7 linked regions of the Callithrix jacchus genome follow. The protein of the gene in region 3 purifies or fractionates together with the protein of the main gene of each other region. This does not show direct contact. Links are inferred from orthologs where the notes say so. Each region holds a gene or a part of one and is shown on either strand. Other genes may lie near its edges. The genes, in order: PLCB3, PRKD1, NHERF2, ARHGEF6, PHLPP1, PHLPP2 and LPAR2.

Region 1 (3,500 bases), on a different chromosome or scaffold from region 3:
GGCGTGAGCCACTGCACCCAGCCTCAATCCAATCTCTATAGAGCACCTGGCATCATCTTTCTAAAAATATATCATGGGGTCATGTCACCTCTTCTGCTTCACCCTCCAAAAAGCCGCTCCCTCCACTCAGGGTGAATACAAGTGCCTCCGGGCCCTGGGTCTTGCCCTGCCTTGTTCTCCCTCTCACACCAGGAACCTATCCCCAGCCCACTCTGCATCCTGACTCCCCAGCTTCCTTTCTGCTTTTTTTTTTTTTTTTTTTTTTTTTTTTTAATAAAGATGGGGTTTCACCATGATGGCCAGGCTGGTCTTGAACTCCTGACCTCATGTGACCCACCCACCTCAGCCTCCCAAAGTGCTAGGATTACAGGCGTGAGCCACTTCACCCAGCTCTGCTTTTATTTTTTTCACTTTTTTTGGGGGGAAAGGGTCTCACTCTGTCACCCAGGCTGGAGTGCAGTGGCACAATCATAGCTCACTGCTGCCTCAACCTTCCCAGAACCAAGGGACACTCCCACCTCAGCCTCTCAAGCAGCTGGAACCACAGGCATGCACCACCACACCCAGCTAATTTTTAAAAAATTATTTGTAGAGATGGGGTCATACTGTGTTGCCCAGGCTGGTCTCAAAACCCGGGCTCAAGGGATCTGCCTGCCTTATGCTCCCAAAGTTCTGGATTACAGGCATGAGCCACTACACCCATCCCCATTCCAGCCTCTTGAAAGCACCTTGCCGGCTAGGCATGGCAAGAGCTCACGCCTGTAATCCCAGCATTTTGGGAGGCCAAGGCAGGTGGATCACCTGAGGTTCGAGACCAGCCTGACCCACATGGAGAAACCCCATCTCTACTAAAAATACAAAATTAGCCAGGCGTGGTGGCACATGCCTATAATCCCAGCTACTCGGGAGGCTGAGGCAGGAGAACCACTGGAACCCGGGAGGCGGAGGTTGCGGTAAGCTGAGATCGCACTATTGCACTCCCGCTGGGGCAACAAGAGCGAAACTCGTTCTCAAAACAAGAAAAAAAAAAACCCTCAGTCTCCTGCTCCAGGCCTTAACACAGGCCGTTCCAGGCCTCAGCCTTTCCCTGGGGAAGCCACCATGAGGCATGCTGCCGCAGAGAGGCCCCACTGCCCAGGGCCGGCTACCTGTTCCCTGCCTGCATCCCCAGCACCGGCCAATTAACAAGCAAATGAGATGAAAGAACGGTGCCTCAGGAGTGGGCCATGCCACGAGCGGAGGTCACGGGCACCAGCCCGCCCTGCTCACCAGTGAGATAGGTGTTATGCGAGGAGTTGATGAAGTAGGCACTCAGCGGCTGGGTCATGTCTGCGCTCAGATCCAGGGCTTCCAGGGGCAGGATGCCGTTCTCCTCACCTCCCAGATAGCGGCTAAAGCCCTCCATGGACATCTGGTCTGGGGTCGGAGGGGGTCAGCAGGGTCAGCTGGGCCCCGCCTGCCCCGCCCACCTGCACCCTGGCCAGCTCACCTCGCTCCAGAAACTGCTTGTTGGGCTCATACTTCTCAATGAGCAGCCGGGCTTGGGAGGGCCGCAGGGGTGGGTACAGCACTTCGTTGAGTCTCGGGTCGCGTTGCTTCTGGTTGATGAAGTCCATGAGCTGCTCCAGCGTCAGGTACGGCTTGCCCTTGGCACCTCTGGAGGGGGCAGGAAGCCAGGTCAGGCTGGAGCCTCACCAGGCTCCCATCCGCTCGACAAGCCCGGGCCCTGGGCAAGGGAGTCAGAAGGCTTGCCCCTGGATCTGGCACCCAGTGAGTGGGACTCTGGGTGAGTCACAGCCCGCTCTGGGCCACAGTTTCTCCCTTCACTCTTCTGACTACTCAGCATTGGCAAGGCAGCAGACCAGTGGGCACTGGCAATGGCCAGAGCTTGGGAGCTGCCCAGTGCTCGGCCCACCACCCCTCGCTTCCAGATCTCACAGGACGCCTGAGCCTTGCTTCCCATCGCAGAGTGGGCTGATTAAACACCTCTGCCACGTGATCAGCCCAGAGCACCTGTAACTAACTGAGGGACACAAACGGTGGCTTTGAGCAGGGACACACCGACAGGTCCTCCCCGGGCCCACCCCGGCGCTCCAGGACCCAGCCCACCAGCTCCCCTTCTCCCCACTGAGCTAGAGGCGCGCTAAGCAGAAGCCACAGACGAGCATGGGAGCTGGGAGGCAGGCCCTGCTCACATCTCCAGCAGGATCTTGTCAATGTCCGGCCGCAGACACAGCTTGTTCAGGAACCGCTCAAAGATTTCCAAGGAAAACTCATCGGGCCGGATGGACTCACTCTGGGGGCCAAGGAGTGTGGGGTGAGAACCCAGGGGCAGCCAGCCCTGGAAGGGTGGGTACCCACCATGACACCCCACCTGCCCCTACCCCTATTTCACACACCCGGTTGAAGTTGAGGCCACAGGATTCCAGCGCAGTCTCCACTCGCTTCTTGTCAGCTGAGAACATCTTCAGGATGCTGATGCGGGCAGCAGGGGTACAGGGTCGGCGGTGGGGGCGGTGCAGGGTCAGTGAGGGGCAAGGGTCACCAAGGTCAGGGCAGGAGGAAGGTGTTTGGGGAAGGGGTGCTCACTTCTTGACGGGGATCCGACCATCCTGGTTCACCTGCAGCTTCAGCTTCGTGTATCTGGGGAGGTAGGTAAAGGGGTCACACCCTGAAAACAGCCACGTGAACCCCCCAGATCCCCTTCGGGTGGCCTGGGGCTCACGCTTTGCGCAGGAAGGTGTTCCGGGAGGCGTTCTGAGCCAGGATGTTCATCGCCAGCTTGAACAGCTCCTCGGACCAGACCTGGGGGCCAGTATACGCAGGGAGGCAGTGAGTGGGGTGCAGAGGGGCTGCCCAGCCACAGCCCAGGCCCGCAACTGGCTCTGGGACACAGTAGGTCACAGAGCAGCCTAGAAACAGCAGGTGTCAGTAAGTGACAGCCGCCTCAGAGAGTAAGGCAGTGACTCCTCCCTCAACCCCTCGGTGCCGGCCCACCTTGGCTGTGTCGTCCTGCACGGCCATGAAGTTCAAGAACACTGTGTTTACGGGGTCTGGCCCAGACACCACCGTCATCAGCTTCTCCTCCAGCCGGGCATCGGGACCCCCAAAGCCCAGAACTTCCCGGATCTTGGGGTCCTGAGTCGGTGAGAGCCAAGGGTGAGGAGGGGTTCCCGGGCCTCACAACCTCACTGTGGTCTTCAGTCCTGGGCTCCATCACTCACCTTGGGCAGGCGGGCGTACCGGCCCGTCCGTGTGTCCCTGATGGAACTGATGTCCAGTGTGTCTACCTCCTGGGGGGAACCAGATGCCAGGCTGGGTATGAGAAGCTGTAGGTCCACAGCCAGGAGCCTCCAAGCTCCCCACCCAGGCCAGGGTGGGGCCAGCCCCTGGCCACAGCCCCAGCCTTAGCTCCTGGCCTGAGCACTTCCTGTCTGGGCAGCCGTGGGAGAGGTCAGCCTGCAGCTGGGCTCCACCCCCACGGGCAGGGCAGGAGTCTG
Region 2 (3,500 bases), on a different chromosome or scaffold from region 3:
AAATCCTTGATTTCGAGGTCTTGAAACCTTTCTTTATTCTCTCTAATGCAGAGACTAAAGCAAATCACTTATCAGAGGATTGTTGTGCGAATCAAGCAGCACAATGCTACACAACCACCCCAATGTAGAGATATTATATTGTATCAAGTCAACATCTACACTAACAGAAAAAACACATAGTAAAGGAATCTATAATTCTGACACATGTATGCATATTATTAAGATCTTACCTTATAACAACACTTTCTTTTGCTTTTTCATGCCAGGAAAAAATACAACTAGCAATATGTCCAAAGAACACCAAGGAAACCTTCACATTGTTTCTAAAATGATACCATCAATCTTTGGTTACCAGCCAGGCAAGTGCTTAGTGTTCTGCTGTCCTCCTCCTGATGCAAATTCTTGGCTCACCCCCCACCTGCCTTTATAGATGCCTTTCATAACCTTTACCTCAGTCAGTTTTTGTTAGAACCTCATTATGTAGGCAGGAATCATTTCCCATTTTGCAGATGAGGAAATGAAGCCCAAAGAAGGTAAGGGATGACTACTCACAATGGCAGATAGGACTCTCTGTCTCAAACTACTTGACTGTTGACCATTCATCTTTGTCAGAATCATGGAGGTACTTGGAGTTTTATTTCCTCGGATCTGAATTCTCAGTGTTTCTGGTGTGGTTTAAAGTATCCTGAGACTAAAAATTGATCTAATATCAGTTGTGACCACCCTGTGACAGATACTATTAATAGTTTTGCTGGTTTATCAGGTCCTACAAGCTTAAAATTAAAATTATTTGGTCTCAACTCCATTATAACTTCTAATGATGGAATTATTTGTTTTCAATAAGATAATGGAATAGAACCTGAGCCAGCAACTACTTTTATGACACCTTAACTGATATTATGATGCAATTTAACTAACTTTTCTCTATATTCAAGCATGAGTTCTGTTCATACATCAGCAGCTAAATAACTTTTTTTTCTTTTTGCCATTCAGAGCTTTAGTTCACATAACAGTATAATGCCTGTGCCTCCAAGGAAAGAGTGAGCCATAAGGAGGTACTGAGTCATTTGGAAAAGTGAGGGTTCTATCTCCCATCTGAGTTGATCTCCATATCACTTTATTTGAATGGTAGGAAATTTTTAGTGCTTAGACCTTTCTACAGCCAAGTAAAATCCTAGTCAAATATAAATGCCTTTTGAATTATCCTACATAATTCCCTGTTGCTAAAATGCTATGTCTCTTTCTTTTCTTTCTTCAGTGACTGGCCTAAATTCTGTCTCCTCTGAAAGTAGAGTTCTAACTAGTTAAGTACATGGTGATTCTCTTTCCTCTGAACTTAGAGGCCCTGATTTTCCACCTAGTAACAATTCAAGGAAATAAATTATCATATTATCCAATGTCACATAACTCATCTCCCCAACTAACATTCAAGTTCTTTGAAGCACGTCTGATATTCTGTCCTCTACTTTTGTATTACCTACCAAGTACGTATATTGTGATTTCCCAAAAACTGTTTCCTAAGCCTTTGATATCTAGTCCTCCAGAGTCTATTATTAGTGATAATTAAAAGTTCATAATTTATAAACATTTATTTCTGGCCTGAATATGTTTTGTCTTAATAGGCTATATAGCTGCTTAGTAAGTCAAATTTTCACAAAAGCAGAGAAAGGGACATCATTTGTTCCACTACTCCAAGAAAAAAAAGTTTAAAAACATAAAGATTATTTCCCAACATCCAATTTCTGTACAACAGGAAAGTGTCTGATTGGCTTCAGTGATACTGCAGATTTGCATTCTGATAACAGGATCAAGTTATTTTACTGGATTTCTGGATTAGCAGTATCAAGCATAATGGTTAGCTCTACTTAGATGTAATGTTTCCTATCAAGGGTACTGGTCACAAGGTTATTTGATAATTCGCTCTACTCTGTCTCCTGGAAAAGAAACATAATTACACTTTACTTTTCATCTTTGTTGAATTATGACAAATATTTAATTATTCCTTTGGCACACATGATAGTTCTTTTGTGGGCCACAGGTTCCTTTAAGATATATCCATCTACCTATGATTTGCAACTAATTAGAGGATGTTAAAGGTTATTGCTAATGGTAACTTAAAACTCTGATAATGGATAGCTCTTGGCATTTAATACCATTAGCAGTCTAAGAACTTAATTTATCCTAGGCAGTTCATATACTCTTTTCCCATTTCTATACCGACATATGCAGTAACAGGCATCACATAAGTGAGGTTTACAAATGTACTAGCCTTTCCACATGGTGAATATTCAAACAAACAGAATGAACCTAGAACTAGATATTGCCTGTAAACTAGAAAAGAAGTAGGGCTAGTGGTGAAAGGATGTATGTTCAGACAACCTGGGTATGAATTGTGCCCCTGCTATATACTAGCTTTGTAGTTTGAGCAGTGGTGTCATTGCTTTTGCTCAGTTTTTTCACTTGAAATATAGCCATAATAGTAACATCTATCTTATGAAATTTTTTATGAGAATTAAATACACTCCAATGAATGTTAACTGAGGAACTCCTTTCCAAAGTACTGAATAAGTCACTTTCTCTGCCCTGTAAGCCCCTGTAACTTCTTTTAAAACAATTGTGTTTTATTTAAGAGGAATGAAATACTTAGTAAGAATATGGCTCTAAACAATGCAACATTACCAAGGTAATTTATTCTAAAGAAACTATCAGAGATAAATATAGGAATAATACATCAGGATGTTATAATATTGAACACAGAGAAATAACCTAAAAATTCCAGGGGAATGGCCATGTAAAATATATACATATTTTAATGCTAAAAACAACATCAGTAGACAAAGAACTTAGTAAACTAATACATGTAATATGATCATTCAAATATCAATTATCAATGTCATAACATTCCTGTCTTGATAATAATTTAAAAGTTTTTAACAAAGAACTAGGCACATGTAAGTAAGCCTTTACAATAATTCATCATTACCATTATATTAAGTTATAAATATTTATAAGTTCTAAGGAAATGTACCAAAATACATTCTATCTGGTTGTTCACTTACTTCTATATATAAAGAAATATATATATATATATGAATATATGGATATATATATATATATATCCCTAATTTCTGTTATGTATATGTGTCCTACCCCAATTAATTTGTGTCTTTGTGTCTCCACTCTGGCAGACACTGTACAATGAGCATTTATCAAGTAATAACTTACAATTAAATTCATTTAAATTAATAACATAAACACATAAGGATTAGATCATTATCATTTTTGAATGGAAGGTATTACCTTCATGAGAGATTTCCTTCCAGGGATTTGGTGGATACATGAAAGCTGCATTCTGAATTTGGTCATGTATGTCTTCATCTTCATTAAATGGGAATGTGCCACTTAGGCTTACATAGATGATGACTCCAACAGACCACATATCTAGAGACCGATTGTAGCCTTTGTTCCTTAAGACCTCAGGTGCCAGGTAAGCTGGGGTA
Region 3 (3,500 bases):
AGGCCACTCTCCTGGAAGGGGTCTCGCTTCCAAGCACTGCCATCCTGGGGTGGGCATGGTGGGTGGGGTGCCTGCAGTGAGCCCTAGTCCCACACCCCAGATGGTAGCCCCTCCCAGGGACCAACCACCAGAGGCCGCCTGCTGGGGCTGAGGCAGTGGGCTCTCAAGGGCATCCTGGAGGCACAGACCCCTCTGCCTGGCTGATACCTCCACAGATACCCACCCCGAGGTCTCTGGCACCGAGTGTGAGCTCAGGAGTGGTGGAGAAGGACATCCATACCTCAGCGTCCTTGTCTGAACCAGGCAGGTCACTCCGGGAAGAGCACGCAGAGCCACCATTGAGCTGGGAAAGCAAGGACAGGTTGTGGCTTCAGGGCTCCCGCCCAGGGAGCCGCTGGTTCACAGACAGACGCAGTGCCTGCACACGCACACACACGTACACATGCACACGCCCCACAGCTGTGTGTGCTCCTCCACTCGGCTGTGGCCTCGGGCCTCAGGTGCACTCCAGCTGCGGCGGGGCAGGCACTGGGAACCCGTGCCTGGCAGTAACAGACGGGTGTCCTGGCCAGCTCATGGTGCAGAGGGAGTGGGCACAGGAACAGCCAGCATGCCCGATGCCTGCGGTGAGGCCACCGCCAGCTCCCTTAGGAGGCAGAGACTGGACAGCTTACCAACTCCTTACCAGGTGCTGCCCAGGAGGGGAGGAAAGGCAGCGGCCCCAACCCCAGGTGCCCCATGTAGCTTAGGTGTGGCACTGACCCAGGACTAGATCCACAGGGCCATTAAAGACAGGTGACAGGGCCAGAATTGGGTGTCACTACCACACCTCCTCAAGGACAGGGATCTCCAGGGAGAAGGGGGCCTCTGTCGGCCTGAGTACCCCAGAGGCACCGTGTCTCATGGCACCCCATCCACTCACCTGGGCAGGGCTGGTCCCGTTGGTGATGGGTGTTGGCAGAGGACCTGTGGGTGGTGACAGCGTGTCAGTGGCTGCTCGGCCACCACACTGTGCCCGCCCTGTTCCCCGGGCCGTGGCCCACCTTCCACATGCTCCTCGGTGGGGGTGACCCGAAGCCGTTTGAAGTGTTCGTCTGTCTCTGGGTCCACCACCAGCAGCCGGGCCTCATCCTCCCGGGCCTTGATGCTGGCCACGACCTCGGAATGGCGCAGCCCCTCCACATTCTGCCCATTCACCTGCCACCACCAGCACATGTCAGCCCCGAAGTGGACCCAGACAGCCCCCCACACTACGTGGCCAGGTGTGGCATCAAATATTCATCACAAGCACCGCCCGCCAAGGCAGCAGGAAGCACGCCAGCTCAGGTTCCCGGCATCTCCTTCCTCCCTGCAGGGACCGAGGGGCCCGATGTGGACGGGCATGGGGTACCCAGCACCCTGCAGTCCCGGTGGGCCGGTACCTCAATGAGCCGGTCCTGGGCGCGGAGGCCAGAGTGAGCAGCAGGGGAGCCCGGGTCCACAGAGCGGATGTACTGGCCGGGCCGGGACTTGTCACTGTGCAGGTTGAACCCATAGCCCTGAGGTCCCTTTCGCAGGTGGCAGAGCCGAGGGCGAAGCTCCCTCAGGGGCCCACTGACATCCTGCAGGCCCGAGAAACAGGATCAGTCTCTTGGCTCCAGCCTCCTGCCCTGAGAGGTTACTCTCAGGTGGAGCTGCCCCTGCCCAAATTCAGTACCATGCCCCCCCACAGGCAGGCCCAGGTCTCGGGGGCAAAGGCTCTGGGTGTCCAGGCTGCCTGTGACGGAGCTCTAGCTGTGGGAACTTTCGCAAAGCCTATTTCTAAACCCAGGAGCCTCCCCGATGGGCCCAGCAGCTTTCCCAGGTTGCTGAGAGAATTCTCTGGGCTCAAGGCCAGTGCGGTGCACAGGCGGGGTGGGAGGAAGTGCCAGGTGGGACGAACTGTCACCATCGGCCTCCTAGGTGGCTGTCCCCAAGGGCCCTGCCTGTGTGTCCCCCTGCCCCAGGCTCGCCTCCAGAGCGTGGGTGAGGCGCTCCTAGGCCAGCAGTTTTGTTTTGTCTCCAGAGTCCTCCGTGGCTAGCTGCGGTGGCGGCTCTGTTTGCTTTCACATTCCGGGAAAATGAGCCGCCCCACCCCCATGGGCCCAGCAAGCAGGGGCTGGGGCCGGAGCTTAGAGTGGACAGGGCACAGAGCGCCTACTGATCCCCTGAGGGACCACGATACCATCCCAGGGCCCTGCCCCATGTTACCTCTGGCATCCTGCAGTGGGGCTCTGGGCCAGGGGACCGTGCAGGCAGGGGCCAGGCCCAGTGATCCCCCCAACCAGGGGCTGGGCCGGGGCAGGCAAGGTGGCAGTGGCCAGCGGCTGCCTGTGCTCAGATAAACATGGCGGTGGCTGGAGCAGGCGGGCGACAGCTCAGGTTTCCAGGGAGTGCCAGGCTTGAGGGTGTGTGCAGGGGAGAGTGTGCGGGCAGGGTGGGGGGCCGCCCGGGCCCATCCCTCACCTCCTACCACCCTGTGTGTTCCTGAGGGATCTGAGGCCAAGCCAGGGCCAGGCTAGCACGGCGGGAAGGGCACTCAGACCTCAGGAAGGCAGGTCTCCGGGCCTCACATACCCCTGACCCCTCCAGCCACCCACCTTCAGGCTCACTCCAAACCCCAGTGGACTGGGAACAGCCATGCTAGTGGCGGGGGGGGTCAGGTGCCGCCCCACCAAGGGCGCACAGGGGTCCTTCCCCGAAAGGCCAGTGCCCCGTACCCTCGGCTCAAGCCCTGCCCCTGGTCTGGAACACCCTCCTCCTGTCCTGCCTGCCAGACACCTCTTGTGGAGCCTCCTGCCCACCTGAAGCCTTTCTGCATGGCTGCCACCCAGCCCATCACACCAGGAACTCCAGGGACAAGGCTGGGGCTCCTCAGTCCCCAGGGGGCTCAGCTGGGCTACATGGGTTGGAGGGTACAAGACCCCCAAAATCTTCAGGGCCCCACCACACAAACCCGCCCTTCCTCCAGACACACCTGGTAGCACAGGCGTGGGGCTTTAAGGCTGACCCTGACACCTGCCCACGGAGGTGCCCCTCAGGGATGCATCAGAGCTCAGCCCCCAAGGCTGGCCTGACACAGAGGGAAGGTGTGGGGACAGGAGCGCAATTTGGGAGGGGAGGTGGGAGCGTGACACGGGCCAGGCTGCAGACACACGTCACAGGGTCACAGACACGAGACACCCAAATACACCTGGGAATACGCATAGCCACCCACACATGTGACTGGCCCCGCAGTGCTGGCCCCGCAGCCCTTCCCACACCTGCACAGAGGACTGCCGGGCAGGCTTTCTCAAGGCACCAGACAGGAAGCAGGATCTGGTGGGGCATCTGGGGCCCTGAGGCCAGGCCAAAGCCCCCTCCATGTTCTCGGAGTCATTCTGGCCACCCCTCTGTGTCTTTAACTCTACAAGGCAAGAAGTTCTGCCTGTCATCGAGCCTAAACCCTCCTCATTGTCAGTAGGGTCCTGCGATGCCAGGCA
Region 4 (3,500 bases), on a different chromosome or scaffold from region 3:
TTTCTTTTAGGAAGGGGGCCAGGGAAAGGGAGGAAGGTTGATTATGGCACCTGGTTTGATTTATCGGGTGTTAGAATTGTCTTCCTTCTCCCAAAACATCTTCCTACACTCTGACACGTCTTTGGCAGAGATTCATTACTTTGGGTTAATAAGCAATCTCATTTAAAATGCAGATACCCCAGGGAAGGTTAATGTCGTGAGTCTAACTATTAGTCATTCACACCTTTGGGATAAACCTCTTGGGTGAAGGCAGGAGGAATCAGTGCTATAAAAAAATAAAAAGACAAGAAGGTAGAGAAGAAATTGGGGAGCATGAGTTGTAGAAATTCCATGAGGAGCATTTGAAAATGGCCAGTGTACCGACTGCTGCTGAAGGTTCAGAGGGCAAGGAGTGTGAGGACCAAGAGAAAGCCATTGGATATTGCTAGAAGGCAGTTATTGATGACTTTGCAAGAGCAGTGGGGGTGCAGTTAGGGATGGATCAATGGGGAGAAAATGAAGGCAGCAACTAATCTGGCAATAAAATGTCAAGAAATGGGAAACTACGCATAAATAGCCACATGGGGGTAAGCAAAGGTCTGTTAGGACAGGAGGTGTGTGTAAAGGAAAAGAGGAAAAGCTAGTAAAACAGGAGAGGATGCTGGGAGAAGAGGAGATGTCTGTAGAGGAAAACTAAGTGAGACAAAGATGTGAGAGAATGCGGAGCGCTTTTTAGAATAGTTAGCCTGGAACGGTTCCTCTTCTCAAATGGAAGGAAGGAGATGGAGACAGGCGTAATTGTAGCTAAGATGGCTGGGCATGTAAGCTAAATGTAATTTTTGAGTATACTAATTGCATATCTGTTGAAGGGGCTCTTCTCATGTGTAAAGGTTTCCTCAGTGCCCTTAAAAAAGTGTATCTACTTTTACATTTTACGTAAATCCAATAATTACCCTGTTCTTAATGACTAAAGCGAATTTTATGCATATGACTTTAACATATATTTTAGAGCATACTACATTTCTTATCACCTGAAAACCCCTTAATTTTGCCATTTTTTTCTAAATAAAATATATTTTCATTTTGTGAACCTGGAGACTTATTTTGTGCCTAGGACTAGCACATCTTGCTGGCTGCATAAACTGTGGTTTCTTCTCAGGCTTTCATACATGGAAAGCAAGCATGGTTCTTTGTATTTAACTGTTATATATAGGAAGAAGAGAGAGAACTGTGGGTTTATGTCCATTTCAAAGTAAAATTCAACTAGGTTTTTGTTTTCAAGTTGGATATCTTTTTTTTTAAAAAAATCACTTTTAATGTTTCTGTTGTTTATATAAGGTCTATGCTATAAGGCAGTGATTCCAGAAATTCTCAACAAATAAAATGTCCAGTTTTGTTCTTCAAATAATATTGTTCATTCTCTCTCAGGAAAAAGAGGAGCGGTACCTTATGTTATTTTCAAATGTCCTGATAATGTTATCTGCAAGTCCTCGGATGAGTGGCTTTATCTATCAGGTTAGTAGATTTCATATAAAACACACAGCAGACCCCCTAATGAAAACAGGTTTCCAACCAGATGCAGTATCTCCACTATGGCATTAAAAGCTCAAGCCAAGAGAACCAGAATGTTCTGACCGTTCATTTTAATTAAAAAGAGAGTCTAAGAGCAGATGTTCCTTAGATCAAAGATCTTTGTATTAGTGTAATGAGTTTATCTTGAATATATCCACCGCTTTAGTTATGCTCTGGGTTTTGAATGCATAAATGGAAACTAGATAAATTAGCAGCAGTATTGTACAGGCCCATGTCATTATTGCTGAGAAAACATAAAGCTGAGATCTGCTCCTATGCTTGTCTGATTATAGTCAGATCACATGATTCAGGCTTCTAAGAAGCATGTTATTAAACTCCTTAGGAAATTAAATGTCCCTCAGTCTGCTCCAAGATATAGAGTATTAAAAGTTACTATTGCCTGTTACATCTTGGCCTGGCAATTAATAATTTTCATAACATCTGAGCCTTCTCTTCTTTTTTAACTGTTTCTTATGAAAATGCTTTAGAAAAGTAAACTACTTTGTAAATCATGATCTTAACAGTTTAGGGTGTGTTAACCAAACACAATCCACATTTCCCCGTTGCTTTCTTGTCTGATTAAAATTTAGAGCAGGGAAACATATTATCCATTGACAGACTGGAGAAATACATCTAGCCATAATTTTGCAGTGCTGAGAGGGTCAGAAAATCTAACACTCTGAAATAAACAGAGACTCCTATAACTGCAGAATTAATGAGAATGTTCTTTTTCTAATAGGGAAAAATACCAATACCAGGAACAATGGTGGCTAGATTAGATGAAATTGAAGGGAATGACTGCACATTTGAAATCACTGGTAGGTAATTTTCTCTTTTTCATGTAACTACTTCCAATTCCTTTTGCAATGAAGGGGAATTTAATAAATAAATGCCGTCATTTTCTGTTACATAGGCCACGAGCAAGTTTTACATGGTCATGGCAAAGTATATTCCATTTCCTGGGATGATTAGGGTACAGCAATAGAACAGAGAAGTCTCTTCTCATTCAAAAGCCGTGGCTTTGCCATTAGTTTCAATCTTCTGTTGCATGAGAGCTACTTGTGAGAGCTAAGGAATAACAAAATGGAATAATGTAAATGTAATTTTCTCCCTTTCTGTCATTTGTTCCCTGGTGACAGAGAAGCCAAAGATATGGACTTTTATCAGCGATTTCATCATCAGCCCGAGTTAGCAAGATTTGGTTATGTTTCTAAAAAGTTCAGGAAAGCCATGAAACTATGTTCACAAATTGAGCACGATGCTGAGGCTTAATAATGCTCCCTGACATTTTAGCTTATGATCCCTTTTGCAAGGCCTGTGTCATTTATATGTAGTGGCCTCACTGTGGGTTCTGATACGGCACAGTGGCTAAGACTGGGATCATAGCCTTACTCTCTTCTTTCCCAAGAAGGATCCTAAGGTTTGGTGTTTGTCAAAAGATTGTAAACAGCCTTAGTTGGATCTTGTTCCAACTTTGATACTGGGAGAACCAGTACAATAGTCCCACTTTAGACTTAACTAGATGGACTACGTGCTTACATTTTTGGACTGTGAGTTTGTTTATAGTGAAGTTTTACACTACTTTTAAACTTCTGTAAGCAGTAAAAATCAAGGAGAGTTTTCTAAATCAGACACGAATATTTATTTACTTTATTATCACAGGTTATCTGTTTCTGATATAGAAGTTTCAACAGGGTTATCCCATAGGTGTGAAAACCCCTGAAAATACACACCCAAGTTCTAGTCGCGTGAAGTGTATTTCTGAATGGGACAAGCTCAAGTTTTTCCTTGTCTTTTGTTTTCAAATTGATCATAATTGGGGAATGTAGGTAACACAGTAGAGAGAATTGTGGTCCATTGCAACAACAACCAGGACTTCCAGGAATGGTTGGAGCAGCTGAACAGACTGATAAGAGGACCTGCCTCTTGCAGTTCATTATCCAAAACAT
Region 5 (3,500 bases), on a different chromosome or scaffold from region 3:
ACACAGTGAGCAGTTCTCAACTGGGGGCAGTTTGCTTCCCCACAAGACATTTTTCAACATAGGGAGACATTTTTGGTCATCACAGCTGGAGCGGAGAGTGCACTTGGCATGCCATGGACAGAGGCCACTGAGCACCTGCTGCTGCTAAACACCCCGTAGGGCAGTCCCCACAGCGGATGGGGGTGTGTGTGTGTTTGAGGGTGTGTCTCAGGTAGAGAAGTAAAACCTCACTGTTAAATGTTAAGCAATGCAGACAAAAGCGAGGAACAGGAGAGGCACAGAAAACAGGAGAAGTCTGACGTGCAAACTATGATTCATTCAGGTCACAGAAATCATTTACCTTAATTGTGCTTGGCATAATGTTGATCTGAAGTTTAATTCAGTGCATTGTCTTCTGCTCCCTAACACAGTGCCTACTGTCCATGTTAATCCTTTCTGCTCTGAGAACAGACAGAGAACAAATTCACACACTCACTTGCACAGAATCCCATGTATAGCTTGAGTCTGTTTCTTTCTTATGGCCCTCATCAGAGCCTGTGTGGAATCAGTCTTTTTTCTCTACTGACTATAAACTTTCACCAGAGTCAAACTGCACATGATTCTATGGGTTTTATCAACAATATAAGACTAGAAACTTCTTGAAGGTAATGTGTATCTGCAGGTCACTGCTGTCTGCCCACGTCATTTTCTTCAGGAAAAGGCCAGATGACCGACGCTTTGCTGAATTAGGGAATGCAAGCAGCACTCCTGGAGCCCATGTTGGAAGCTTCACTGTCATGAGTCACAAAATATCGGTTTTGATGGAGAGAAATCTAAAGGCGTGGGCAGAACAGCAAGAACAGTTTCTGCTAAATTCCATGCTTTGGGGACAGATTATGTCCATAGAATCAAGGCAGTTTCTAAAGTTGTCCTCGAAGCTCATACTACTAATTTTACCAATGGGAATGCTTACCTGCTTAAAAGTGTGAAAAGCAGAGGAAAGGGAACGAAGGGAAAGAAGGGAAGGAGAGGAAAGGGAAAGAAGGGAAGGAAAGGAGAGCAAAGGAAAGGAGAGGAAAGGGAAAAAAGGGAAGGAGGAACCAGGTCTGGCGCTTTGGTAACTGATTTCATAACATGCACCCAGCTAAACTAAAGCCAGTAGAGCTTACCTTCTCCATTGACCACCAGGAAATCAAGTTCAAGGAAATTGTAAGAACTGGCATTTCCTTTAGCATCTGCTCTCCTGACGTGAGCATTCTTACCCACCTAGTCACACCAAGGCTTTCTCCACCCCTTAAGTACTTTTGAGTCCTCTCTGGACCTTCAGACACTAGTGCCACTTGTGATCATGGAGAGCAACGGAAGATTCAGGGGCACGGTCTTGATGTATGCCGGCCTCGTGTGTCTTCTATCAGAAAGGCTCTCCCATCTCAGAGTCCTGTGGGTTTACAGGAGGAGCTAGCCAGCCATGCTTGCTGTGTAAGGCTAGATGATGGCTTGCTGTAGAGAAACAGCGGGACTTGTGACCTAATGGGAACAGGGTCCCAGTAACACATAACCGAAATCTTTTCCTTTTGTCCCTACTGCTCCTTACCTGCCAAGGCCTGCTACCTGGGGTTTCAGATGACAGGTGCACATTAACTACTCACTTCCCTTTGTAGACCACACAGCACTTCTCTGTGGTCTGACAGTCGGGGACCTGCAGGGAAGATGCACAGTTGCTGCAGGTGCTCCGTATTAACTGTCTGTCTGCAAACCCTTGTTCTTTCAGGATGGCAAGGTGAACGGAGTGACTGAGTCCACGCGAATCCTGGGCTACACCTTCCTCCACCCCAGCGTGGTGCCTCGCCCCCACGTGCAGTCCGTGCTCCTGACCCCCCAGGATGAGTTCTTCATCCTAGGCAGTAAAGGGTTGTGGGACAGCCTATCTGTCGAGGAGGCCGTGGAGGCCGTGCGCAATGTGCCCGACGCCCTGGCTGCTGCCAAGAAGCTGTGCACCCTGGCCCAGAGCTACGGCTGCCACGACAGCATCAGCGCTGTGGTGGTGCAGCTCAGTGTCACCGAGGACAGCTTCTGCTGCTGCGAGCTCAGTGCCGGTGGGGCCGTGCCACCACCCAGCCCCGGCATCTTCCCTTCCTCGGTGAACATGGTGATCAAGGATCGGCCCTCAGACGGGCTGGGTGTGCCGTCCTCCAGCAGCGGCATGGCTTCTGAGATCAGTAGTGAGCTCTCCACTTCCGAGATGAGCAGCGAGGTGGGGTCCACGGCCTCCGACGAGCCCCCACCCGGAGCCCTCAGCGAGAACAGCCCCGCCTACCCCAGTGAGCAGCGCTGCATGCTCCACCCTGTCTGTCTGTCCAACTCCTTCCAGCGCCAGCTGTCCAGCGCTACATTCTCTAGCGCCTTCTCCGACAACGGCCTTGACAGTGACGATGAGGAGCCCATCGAGGGCGTCTTCACCAACGGCAGCCGGGTGGAGGTGGAGGTGGACATTCACTGCAGCCGGGCCAAGGAGAAGGAGAAGCAGCACCTGCTTCAGGTGCCAGCCGAGGCCAGTGATGAGGGCATTGTCATCAGCGCCAATGAGGATGAGCCGGGTCTGCCCAAGAAGGCAGACTTCTCTGCCGTTGGGACCATCGGGCGTCGGAGGGCCAATGGCTCTGTTGCGCCTCAGGAAAGGAGCCACAATGTGATAGAGGTGGCTGCAGACGCCCCTCTTCGAAAGCCGGGAGGCTATTTTGCTGCCCCAGCTCAGCCGGATCCCGATGATCAGTTTATCATACCCCCAGAGCTGGAAGAGGAGGTCAAAGAAATCATGAAGCATCACCAGGAGCAGCAGCAGCAGCCACCGCCACCGCCACCGCCACTGCAGCCACAGCTGCCACGGCACTACCAGCTGGACCAGCTGCCAGACTATTACGACACGCCACTATGACCCAGCCGAGCTATTTAACAAATAAACTAACCACAAAAGACGAGTTACGAGAGTCTCCCAGGCTCACATTAAACCAGGGGTTTTACTCCACGTCCTTCCCCCAGACACTGTTCCCAACCTGTCATTGCAGCTAATCTGTAGGTTCTCTTTCTTTGGGTTATTTTTTTTAAATAATCACCACTTCTAGTGATGCTTTACCAATACGATTTACATTTGTTAACTTCTCCCCCTAACATATCAGATATGTAAAGACAAAGAACAGAAGGTTTAATATATTACAGAGAACAGTTAATGATAATGTAATATTTTTAAAAATGGCTTTTTGTTTTGTTTGGAAGGCAGGACAGGCTGCCATTGCTAAATGATTTAATATTGTAATTCTGTATTTCTTTGGGGGGGAAAGGCTTTTTTTTTTTTTTTTTTTTTTGTCTTGAAAATAATAGACATTTGTAGAATATGGAGACTAACTCCTAGGAGTTGCTTTACTCTGTCAGGTGACTTAAGTCACTGGGATTCACTAATTTTCTCTGAGAGAACAGCTGATTGAGAATTTCTATTGTAAATAGCTCAGTGTTGTATAGTGAGG
Region 6 (3,500 bases), on a different chromosome or scaffold from region 3:
CACGTGCATCTGGGCATGGGGCCTCTGAGAAGATGAAGACACGTGATTATTATGGACAGGTCATCTAGCTTTTGACTATTGCTTTTAACAAAAACTTCAAAAAACACACACATGAAAACATATTTATATTTAACCCTCTCTTTAACATATTGTTTCTCATGAAACAAATTAAAAATGGCTCTACTCTATTTTTAATTGTGAAAGTGTTCCAAAAATTCAAAGCACATTCCCCACTGGGTAAAATCAAGCAATGCCAAAATTTTGGGGAATAAATAGGAATTGATTTTCCTAAGTAAATCTTACAATGGAAAAAGTGACAAAAATATGGAAGAAACTGAATTTTGCTACAGTTAAGTGGAATGTGCAAAAAATACAGGTTTTCTGTAAGCTTAAGAATTTCTCAATGAAGTGTCTTTCTTATGTTGGTATTGAGCCCAGTATTCTGAAACCACATAAACTGAATATGCAGTTTTCAGAAGAGTACACTGTTCAACATTCAAGAGGTGGGCTCTCAACTCACTTCTAACATTCTAGAAAACAATCCCTCTCCTCCAGCATAGGAGAAGAAACAAGTCTAACCTGAGTACTCCATCCATCTGTTCTCATTGGCCTCAATCCATTTCAGTGTCATCTGCCGTAACTTAAGGTCACCTGGACGCAAGCAGTGTTAGCCTTGGCCCTCCCCATTAGGAGGCTGTCTGCCAACTCCTCCACATGTTAGGAAAGAGGCCAATCCCTAAGTTTCCCTGGGAAATTCGTAGCAGGTGTCATATTTGTCAAGGAGTAATTCTCTTTCTCTGATCTAGGGAGAAGTAGTCTTGGTCCTCCCTCCTTCCCCCTTTTCAGCCCCAAGAGAAGATCCTGCTACCCCAAGGTTCTCAGGAGCGTTCACAGTCTGACATCTACCAGTTAAGTCAACTTCCCAGGGCCCTTCCTAGTACCCTTGGATAAGGCTCCAACACCCAATTCTCTCTCTGCCTAGGATGAAGGTGCCGGGCTGCCTCTAAGATTGGCTCTAGTGCAGATTCAAAAATAAAAAGTTCACAGTCAATGCAAAGTGCTCTCATTGTATTACATACATAAAGTATCTGTTTGATTGGTTCTACATTTCCAACAGACATCATTTTGATAGGCTGTATTCTCGTAGAGAAGAATGAAAACCCATGTGACTAGTCACATCACACCTCATTAGTCTGAGATAAGGTGATTTCTCTGTCACAGAGATCCATCAGCAGCAACTAGTAAAGAGAATCAATCTTCACTTTTTTCCTCCACAGAAATAGTCCCTTTCCTGCCCAGGCAGGCAAATTCTCAAAGTGATCCTAGGAGAGAAAGGGTTAATGGCAGGTGGTAGGACTGATACAGAACAGCTGCTTTCTTCCCAGTACCCCTGGGAGTTCCAATGCAGGTTAAATGTGAAACTTAACACTGATAGTGGCTACTAGTTTACCCAGAGCCAGCCCCTGATGGCTCTCACCCTTTCTGGCTCTGAGTTCAATCCCACACAGCTATGGTTAGAAATGTAGAGGCAGGGCCGGGCACACTGGCTCATGCCTGTAATCCCAGCACTTTGGGAGGCTGAGATGGTCGGATCACCTGAGGTCAGGAGTTCAAGACTAGCCTGGCCAACACGGTGAAACCCCGTCTCTAAAAAAAAATACAAAAAAAAAAGAAAAGAAAAGAAAAGAAATTAGCCAGGCATAGTGGCGAGTGCCTGGAATCCCAGCTACTCAGGAGGCTGAGACAAGAGAATGGCTTGAACCCAGTAGCGGAGGTTGTAGTGAGCCGAGATTGTGCCATTGCACTCCAGCCTGGGCAACTGAGCAATACTCCATCTCAAAACACATACACACAGACACACAAAAGAGAGAGAGAGAGAAATGTAGAGGCGGAATGCCTCTAGCAGGACCCTACCCCAACCCTGCACAGCCTCCTCCCACACTGTGCCCAGCAGAGCAGTCATAGCGCTGTGTCAAACTCCTCTGGGGGTTCGGTCCGATCCTCTTCATACGGCTCAGGCTCAAGCCGGCTGTCCTGGTGCTGTTTCATTTGTTCCTTCACTTCTTCTTCCAGGTCGCGAGGTACAACAAACTGGTCCTCTGGTTCCATCTGAGTGGGGGCAGCAAAATAGCCAGTTTTCCTCTTGGGTGCTTCTGTGGCCACTTCAATGAGGTTCAGGCTGTCCTCTAGGGGCACAATAGAACCATTGGAGAGCTTCTTCCCATAGAGGCAGGAGGTGGAGGGAGACTTCTGTAACTCCATCCTGTCCTTGCTCATTGGCAGGAGGATGCCACTATTCACACTGTTCTGTCTTCGGATCCCAAAGCACGACCCTCTAGCACGTTCCTCAGAACATGGGGTAGAAGCACTCTCTGTGAGAGGGGGTGAGCTCTCTAGATCCCGGCCCCTGCAGCAGTGAATGTCTACTTCCACCTCTACCTTGCTGCCATTTGTTATGACTCCCTCAACAGGCTGGTCATCATCACTGTCCAGGCCATTGTCAGACTGGTTACTGGAGAAGGTGGCACAAGAAGGCTGGCGCTGAAACAGCCCAGAGGTTGGTGTTGGGTGGAGGCTACAGCGCCGCTCTGGCCTCGGAAGCAAGGCAGCATCCAGGCCCCCAGCATTATGCTCATCAGAAGCAGTGGACCCCACTTCACTGCTCACCTCTGAGGTGGACATCTCACTGCTGAACTCAGAGGCAATCCCACTGCTAGAGGAAGGAGTGGCTGGCTTAGGGGCATCCTTGATGGTGGTGGTTGAAGCAAACCCCACAGGACCTGGGAGGGTGAGCCCATTCATTTCACAAGTACAGCCTTCCTCACCAATATTCAAATAAATCACCATTGCCCCTACGTTGTCCTGACAGCCATAGCTCTGTGCTAATGTGCACAGCTTCTTAGCAGCTGCTAATGGGTCCTGTACATGACGTACAGCACTGACAGCTTCTGTGTAGGACAAGTGTTCCCACAACGCTTTGTTTCCCAGAATCAGCAACTCATCTTGAATGGTCAGTGGAGTGGAAGATATGTGGGGCCTGGGGAGGATCCAAGGGTAGAGGTATGTACAGCCCAGCATCCGGGTACAGCAGGTTACCCCATTCACTTTGTTGTCCTACAGAAGAGCAGGATACAGATTTGAGAAACAAGCAACAATGACAAGCAACTTTATATCTTTCTAGATCACACTGCTTAGGGATATACAATAAAACAATTTATATATGATTTTTTTCTACAGGTAAGTATAATTTTAAGTGAACACATAAGAATAAATGTAGATAAGTCTTAAAAGACAAAATACTATATGGTTATTATAGAGCCAAGTAAAAATAAGTGACTAAAAGGCAACACCATCCCAAAAGATGTTTGCTTGAACATGAAGAACAGACTTCAGTATGTTTATAAATAGAGAAACACGATAGAAAAACAATTAAGCAGAACTATCATTAATTCTCTATCACTAGTATTCTCAGAGAGGCCAAAACTCAGAAAGGTCACTAA
Region 7 (4,118 bases), on a different chromosome or scaffold from region 3:
ACACCTGCCTGCCTCCTCCCACTCCAAGTGACCTTGGAGGAGATGGGCAGCTCAGACTCCACATTCTGGTGGTGCCTGGGGTCTGATGGCCTCTAATAAACTGTGTCCTGGATGCCCTTGGGTGCGTCTCTGCCAGGGGAGAGGCCAGTGTAGACAGCACTCCTTGCCCCTTATTTACCAATCAGGGGAATCCAGGCCTCCTTTTTTGTTTATTGAGATGGATGGAGTCTCACTCTGGCCAGGCTGGAGTGCCAGTGGCATGATCTCGGCTCACTGTAACCTCTGCCGCCCAAGTTCAAGTGATTCTCCTGCCTCAGCCTCCTTAGTAGCTGGGACGACAGGCGTGTGCCACCAGGCCTAGCTAAATTTTTGTATTTTTAGTATTGACTGGTTTCACCCTGTTGGCCTGGATGGTCTCAATCTGATCCGCCTGCCTCGGCCTTCCAAAGTGCTGGGATTACAGGAGTGAGCCACTGCGCTCAGCCTCAAGGCCTCATTCTCACATCGTCAAACAGGCTGGTGCACCTACCTAAAGGCATCTGGAGCTGGGCCACAGCACCCGGCTGAGTCACACCGGCCCGGCCCTCCCGGAGCTCTGCGTCCCCGATCCGGTCCTGCATAACTAAATACAGTATAACAAAGTGCAGATAACCGGGACAATGGGGCTGTGTGCTCCAGACCGTGGGAGCCCTGGGCCGCTGCAGGGGGGCCGAGGGAGGAAGCCGCAGGGCAGGGCAGGGCCGGGCTGTGCAGGGGGCAGCGCCGTCCCAGCGTGGGGGAGTGCGGGGGCGGGATTGCAAAACCCTAACTTGCCCAGGATCAGCTGGGGCCACAGAGATGGGCCCTGCACGGGAGGCCGCGGCGTCCGGTAGCTGCAAGCTGGGAAAGCCGAGGCTGGGCGGGGGTCCGGGCAGTGGGAGCCGAGTCGGATCAGGGAGTGGCTAGTAACTCGGCGGCTGATTGGACACGAAGAAGAGCTCGGGGTGGGGCTGCGAGGGTTGGGGTCCGGACCCGGGGCGCGGACCCTAGACCACCTAGAACTACACCCGGTCGGCGCGAGGTCACGGTGGGAATTCTCGGGTCGCCCGAATGACTCAGCCCCGCAGACTCGAAACTGCGGGCGCGTGAGGTGTGCAAGAACCCGGGTTGGGGGTCCCCGCCGGAAATAGAGAGGGGCGACCGAGGGGCCGCGAGGAGGAAACTGGAGGGTTGCGGTTCCGGGCGACTCCGCCCCCGACGCGGCCGCGGAGGCGGGGCTTCCCCAGGTGGCGGGGCGGGGCTCCCCAGGTGGCCGGGGCGGGGCGCCGGGGGAGACCCCGCCTCCTGTGCCCTCTCTGCAGCCCGCGCCGGGCGTACCCGGACGCTCCTCCGCTCCCGCCGAGGTTACCGGGCCATGGGCCTGGAACCCTCCCCAACCCCCCGCGAGCCTGCCTCGTCTGCAGCGTGACGGGTGGCCCAGGTGAGGCCGGCACGGACTGGAGGCGGGCGGGTGCGGGCCTGGGCCCGGGGGTAGGGCGCGGCACGTGCCTGCGGGGCCAGGACGCCGCCCCCTGATCCCTTTCCCCCTACCCCTTCCCCAGCCTGGAGACGCCTGGAGGCCCGGCCAGCCGTCCCTTCCCCAACCGCTGTCTTTGTCCCAGAGACCGCCAATGTCCTCCGTCCCACCCGGAACAGCCCAGTGCCCCGCCCGTTTGGGAAGCACTCGCGCCCAAATCCCGTCGCGCAACTTCTGGGGCCGCCTCTCTGCCCACTCCGATCACCTCCACATCTCGGCACCGCCCCCTCGCAGGGTCTTAGCAAGTGACCTCACCCTTGTGCGCACACGCCACGGGGTCTCTGCTCCCTACACTCACTCCGGCACCAAAGTGACCCTTCCTCATCTCGTCCCGCAGCTCACACCCCTTTGTCTTGCCCTAACCCTCCTCTCCCCACAACCCAAACCGGATCACACAGTGGCGGCAGGTGAGTTGGGATTGGACCACGGATGGGTTTTGTTTCGCTGCTTCTGGTTAAAAAACCCATTGACTTCTGTGATGTCGTGCACACAGGTCTTATTAGTAGATAAGAAACAGCTGCTCGTCAACCCCCACCTGAGCCCCAAGGAGCTTGCGTTTTCCAGGCCACCCTGGTCCTCACCACTGCCACTTTGCTCCAAGGCATCTGAATTTGAGACCCTTCCCATTCCTGTGCTGACCCTCTTCTGCAGCTACCACCCCTCCCTGTGCCCTTCCAAGAAGCCCACATGCACTGATCTCTGTGTGTCCCCAGATGGTCACCATGGGCCAGTGCTACTACAACGAGACCATTGGCTTCTTCTATAACAACAGTGGCAAGGAGCTCAGCTCCCACTGGCGGCCCAAGGATATAGTCGTGGTGGCACTGGGGCTGACTGTCAGCGTGCTGGTGCTGCTGACCAACCTGCTGGTCATAGCAGCCATCACCTCCAACCGCCGCTTCCACCAGCCTATCTACTACCTGCTGGGCAACCTGGCCGCGGCTGACCTCTTCGCAGGCGTGGCCTACCTCTTCCTCATGTTCCACACTGGCCCCCGCACAGCCCGACTTTCCCTTGAGGGCTGGTTCCTACGGCAGGGCTTGCTGGACACAAGCCTCACGGCCTCGGTGGCCACACTGCTGGCCATCGCGGTGGAGCGGCACCGCAGCGTGATGGCCGTGCAGCTGCATAGCCGCCTGCCTCGTGGCCGCGTCGTCATGCTCATTGTGGGCGTGTGGATGGCTGCCCTGGGCCTGGGGCTGCTACCCGCCCACTCCTGGCACTGCCTCTGTGCCCTGGACCGCTGCTCCCGCATGGCACCCCTGCTCAGCCGCTCCTATTTGGCCGTCTGGGCTCTGTCGAGCCTGCTTGTCTTCCTGCTCATGGTGGCTGTCTACACCCGCATTTTCTTCTATGTGCGGCGGCGAGTGCAGCGAATGGCGGAGCATGTCAGCTGCCACCCCCGATACCGAGAGACCACGCTCAGCCTGGTTAAGACTGTTGTCATCATCCTGGGTGAGTGGGACCCTGCTTCCCCCTATTTCCCACAAGACACTATGAAGCAACAAGCAAAGCAAGCTGCCTGATAGAGGGTGATGGGTGGCTGACTTAGGTGGGGAATGTTCTTTAGGGAGGTGATCTGTGAGCAGAGGCCTGAATGCTGAGGATAGGAACAGAGAGTTCCAGGCAGAGGGGACACAAAGTAAAAACTTCAAGGCAGTACCAAGCCAGAGCCTCTAAGAGGAAAGCTGACTTGTGAGGAGGGTTCAGCAAGGCCTTAAGGGGCACCGACAGGAGTAATATTTTATTTTGAGTTTTGTGGGAAGCCCTTAAGCGTTTTTAGCAATGTTAAGCCTGGTTTAACAAAAAGCCTTTAAATTATTTTTTAATCTATACATATTTTTTCATTTCAATTTTTTTTTTCCAGGGTGAGTAGGGAAGAACATTTCAATTTTTTTTTAAGAGATAGGGTCTTGGCCAGGCGTGGTGGCTCACACCTATAATCCCAGCACTTTGGGAGGCCGAGGTGGGTGGATCACGAGGTCAAGAGATCGAGACCATCCTGGTCAACAAGGTGAAACCCCGTCTCTACTAAAAATACAAAAATTAGCTGGGCATGGTGGTGCGCACCTGTAGTCCCAGCAACTCAGGAGGTCGAGGCAGGAGAATTGCTTGAACCCAGGAGTCTGAGGATGCGGTGAGCCGAGATTATGCCACTGCACTCCAGTCTGGGTAAGAACAGTGAAACTCTGTCTCAAAAAAAAAAAAAAAAAAGAGAAAGAGAGATAGGGTCTTACTCTGTTGCCCAGGCTAGATTACAGTGGCTCCATCATAGCTCACTGCAGCCTCAACCTTCTGAGCTCAGGCGATCCACCTGCCTCAGCCTCCTGAGTAGCTGGGACTACAGGCATGCACCACTATACCTGGCTCATTTTCTTTTTTGTTTGTTTTTATTTTTTAGAGACAGGGTCTAGCTATGTTGCCCAGGCTGGAGCGCAGTGGCTATTCACCAGCGGGATCCCACTACTGATCAGCACGGGAGTTTTGACCTGCTCTGTTTCCAAACTGGGCTGGTTCACCCCTCCTTAGGCAACCTGGAGGTCCCCCGCTCCCGGGAGGTGAC

What was found.
Region 1: the proteins of NHERF2 (region 3) and PLCB3 purify together in Homo sapiens (co-immunoprecipitation; 3 studies listed by BioGRID and IntAct, with this or other methods). This does not show direct contact. The link is inferred for Callithrix jacchus from reciprocal best matches to the Homo sapiens genes NHERF2 and PLCB3.
Region 2: the proteins of NHERF2 (region 3) and PRKD1 purify together in Homo sapiens (affinity purification with mass spectrometry; 3 studies listed by BioGRID and IntAct, with this or other methods). This does not show direct contact. The link is inferred for Callithrix jacchus from reciprocal best matches to the Homo sapiens genes NHERF2 and PRKD1.
Region 4: the proteins of NHERF2 (region 3) and ARHGEF6 purify together in Homo sapiens (affinity purification with mass spectrometry; 3 studies listed by BioGRID and IntAct, with this or other methods). This does not show direct contact. The link is inferred for Callithrix jacchus from reciprocal best matches to the Homo sapiens genes NHERF2 and ARHGEF6.
Region 5: the proteins of NHERF2 (region 3) and PHLPP1 purify together in Homo sapiens (affinity purification with mass spectrometry; 3 studies listed by BioGRID and IntAct, with this or other methods). This does not show direct contact. The link is inferred for Callithrix jacchus from reciprocal best matches to the Homo sapiens genes NHERF2 and PHLPP1.
Region 6: the proteins of NHERF2 (region 3) and PHLPP2 purify together in Homo sapiens (affinity purification with mass spectrometry; 3 studies listed by BioGRID and IntAct, with this or other methods). This does not show direct contact. The link is inferred for Callithrix jacchus from reciprocal best matches to the Homo sapiens genes NHERF2 and PHLPP2.
Region 7: the proteins of NHERF2 (region 3) and LPAR2 purify together in Homo sapiens (affinity purification with western blotting; 3 studies listed by BioGRID and IntAct, with this or other methods). This does not show direct contact. The link is inferred for Callithrix jacchus from reciprocal best matches to the Homo sapiens genes NHERF2 and LPAR2.

What each region holds. Positions count from the first base shown.
Region 1 is NC_133511.1:121,312,176-121,315,675, reverse strand, and holds part of PLCB3 (1-phosphatidylinositol 4,5-bisphosphate phosphodiesterase beta-3), read right to left. Parts: intron 3,294-3,500; coding exon 3,225-3,293; intron 3,139-3,224; coding exon 2,998-3,138; intron 2,806-2,997; coding exon 2,726-2,805; intron 2,644-2,725; coding exon 2,590-2,643; intron 2,476-2,589; coding exon 2,400-2,475; intron 2,297-2,399; coding exon 2,196-2,296; intron 1,657-2,195; coding exon 1,490-1,656; intron 1,417-1,489; coding exon 1,270-1,416; intron 1-1,269. UniProt on the Homo sapiens protein: Catalyzes the production of the second messenger molecules diacylglycerol (DAG) and inositol 1,4,5-trisphosphate (IP3).
Region 2 is NC_133509.1:63,838,468-63,841,967, forward strand, and holds part of PRKD1 (serine/threonine-protein kinase D1), read right to left. Parts: coding exon 3,301-3,500; intron 1-3,300.
Region 3 is NC_133513.1:4,719,474-4,722,973, forward strand, and holds part of NHERF2 (Na(+)/H(+) exchange regulatory cofactor NHE-RF2), read right to left. Parts: intron 1,602-3,500; coding exon 1,422-1,601; intron 1,198-1,421; coding exon 1,044-1,197; intron 967-1,043; coding exon 923-966; intron 344-922; coding exon 281-343; intron 45-280; coding exon 1-44.
Region 4 is NC_133524.1:133,481,096-133,484,595, reverse strand, and holds part of ARHGEF6 (rho guanine nucleotide exchange factor 6), read left to right. Parts: intron 1-1,407; coding exon 1,408-1,494; intron 1,495-2,290; coding exon 2,291-2,369; intron 2,370-3,380; coding exon 3,381-3,500. UniProt on the Homo sapiens protein: Acts as a RAC1 guanine nucleotide exchange factor (GEF).
Region 5 is NC_133514.1:105,930,218-105,933,717, forward strand, and holds part of PHLPP1 (PH domain leucine-rich repeat-containing protein phosphatase 1), read left to right. Parts: intron 1-1,750; coding exon 1,751-2,914; 3' UTR 2,915-3,500. UniProt on the Homo sapiens protein: Protein phosphatase involved in regulation of Akt and PKC signaling.
Region 6 is NC_133521.1:30,256,504-30,260,003, reverse strand, and holds part of PHLPP2 (PH domain leucine-rich repeat-containing protein phosphatase 2), read right to left. Parts: intron 3,115-3,500; coding exon 1,960-3,114; 3' UTR 1-1,959. UniProt on the Homo sapiens protein: Protein phosphatase involved in regulation of Akt and PKC signaling.
Region 7 is NC_133523.1:18,319,776-18,323,893, reverse strand, and holds the start of LPAR2 (lysophosphatidic acid receptor 2), read left to right. Parts: upstream 1-1,318; 5' UTR 1,319-1,459; intron 1,460-1,575; exon of another isoform or gene 1,576-1,962; intron 1,963-2,048; 5' UTR 2,049-2,268; coding exon 2,269-3,010; intron 3,011-4,118. UniProt on the Homo sapiens protein: Receptor for lysophosphatidic acid (LPA), a mediator of diverse cellular activities. Seems to be coupled to the G(i)/G(o), G(12)/G(13), and G(q) families of heteromeric G proteins. Plays a key role in phospholipase C-beta (PLC-beta) signaling pathway.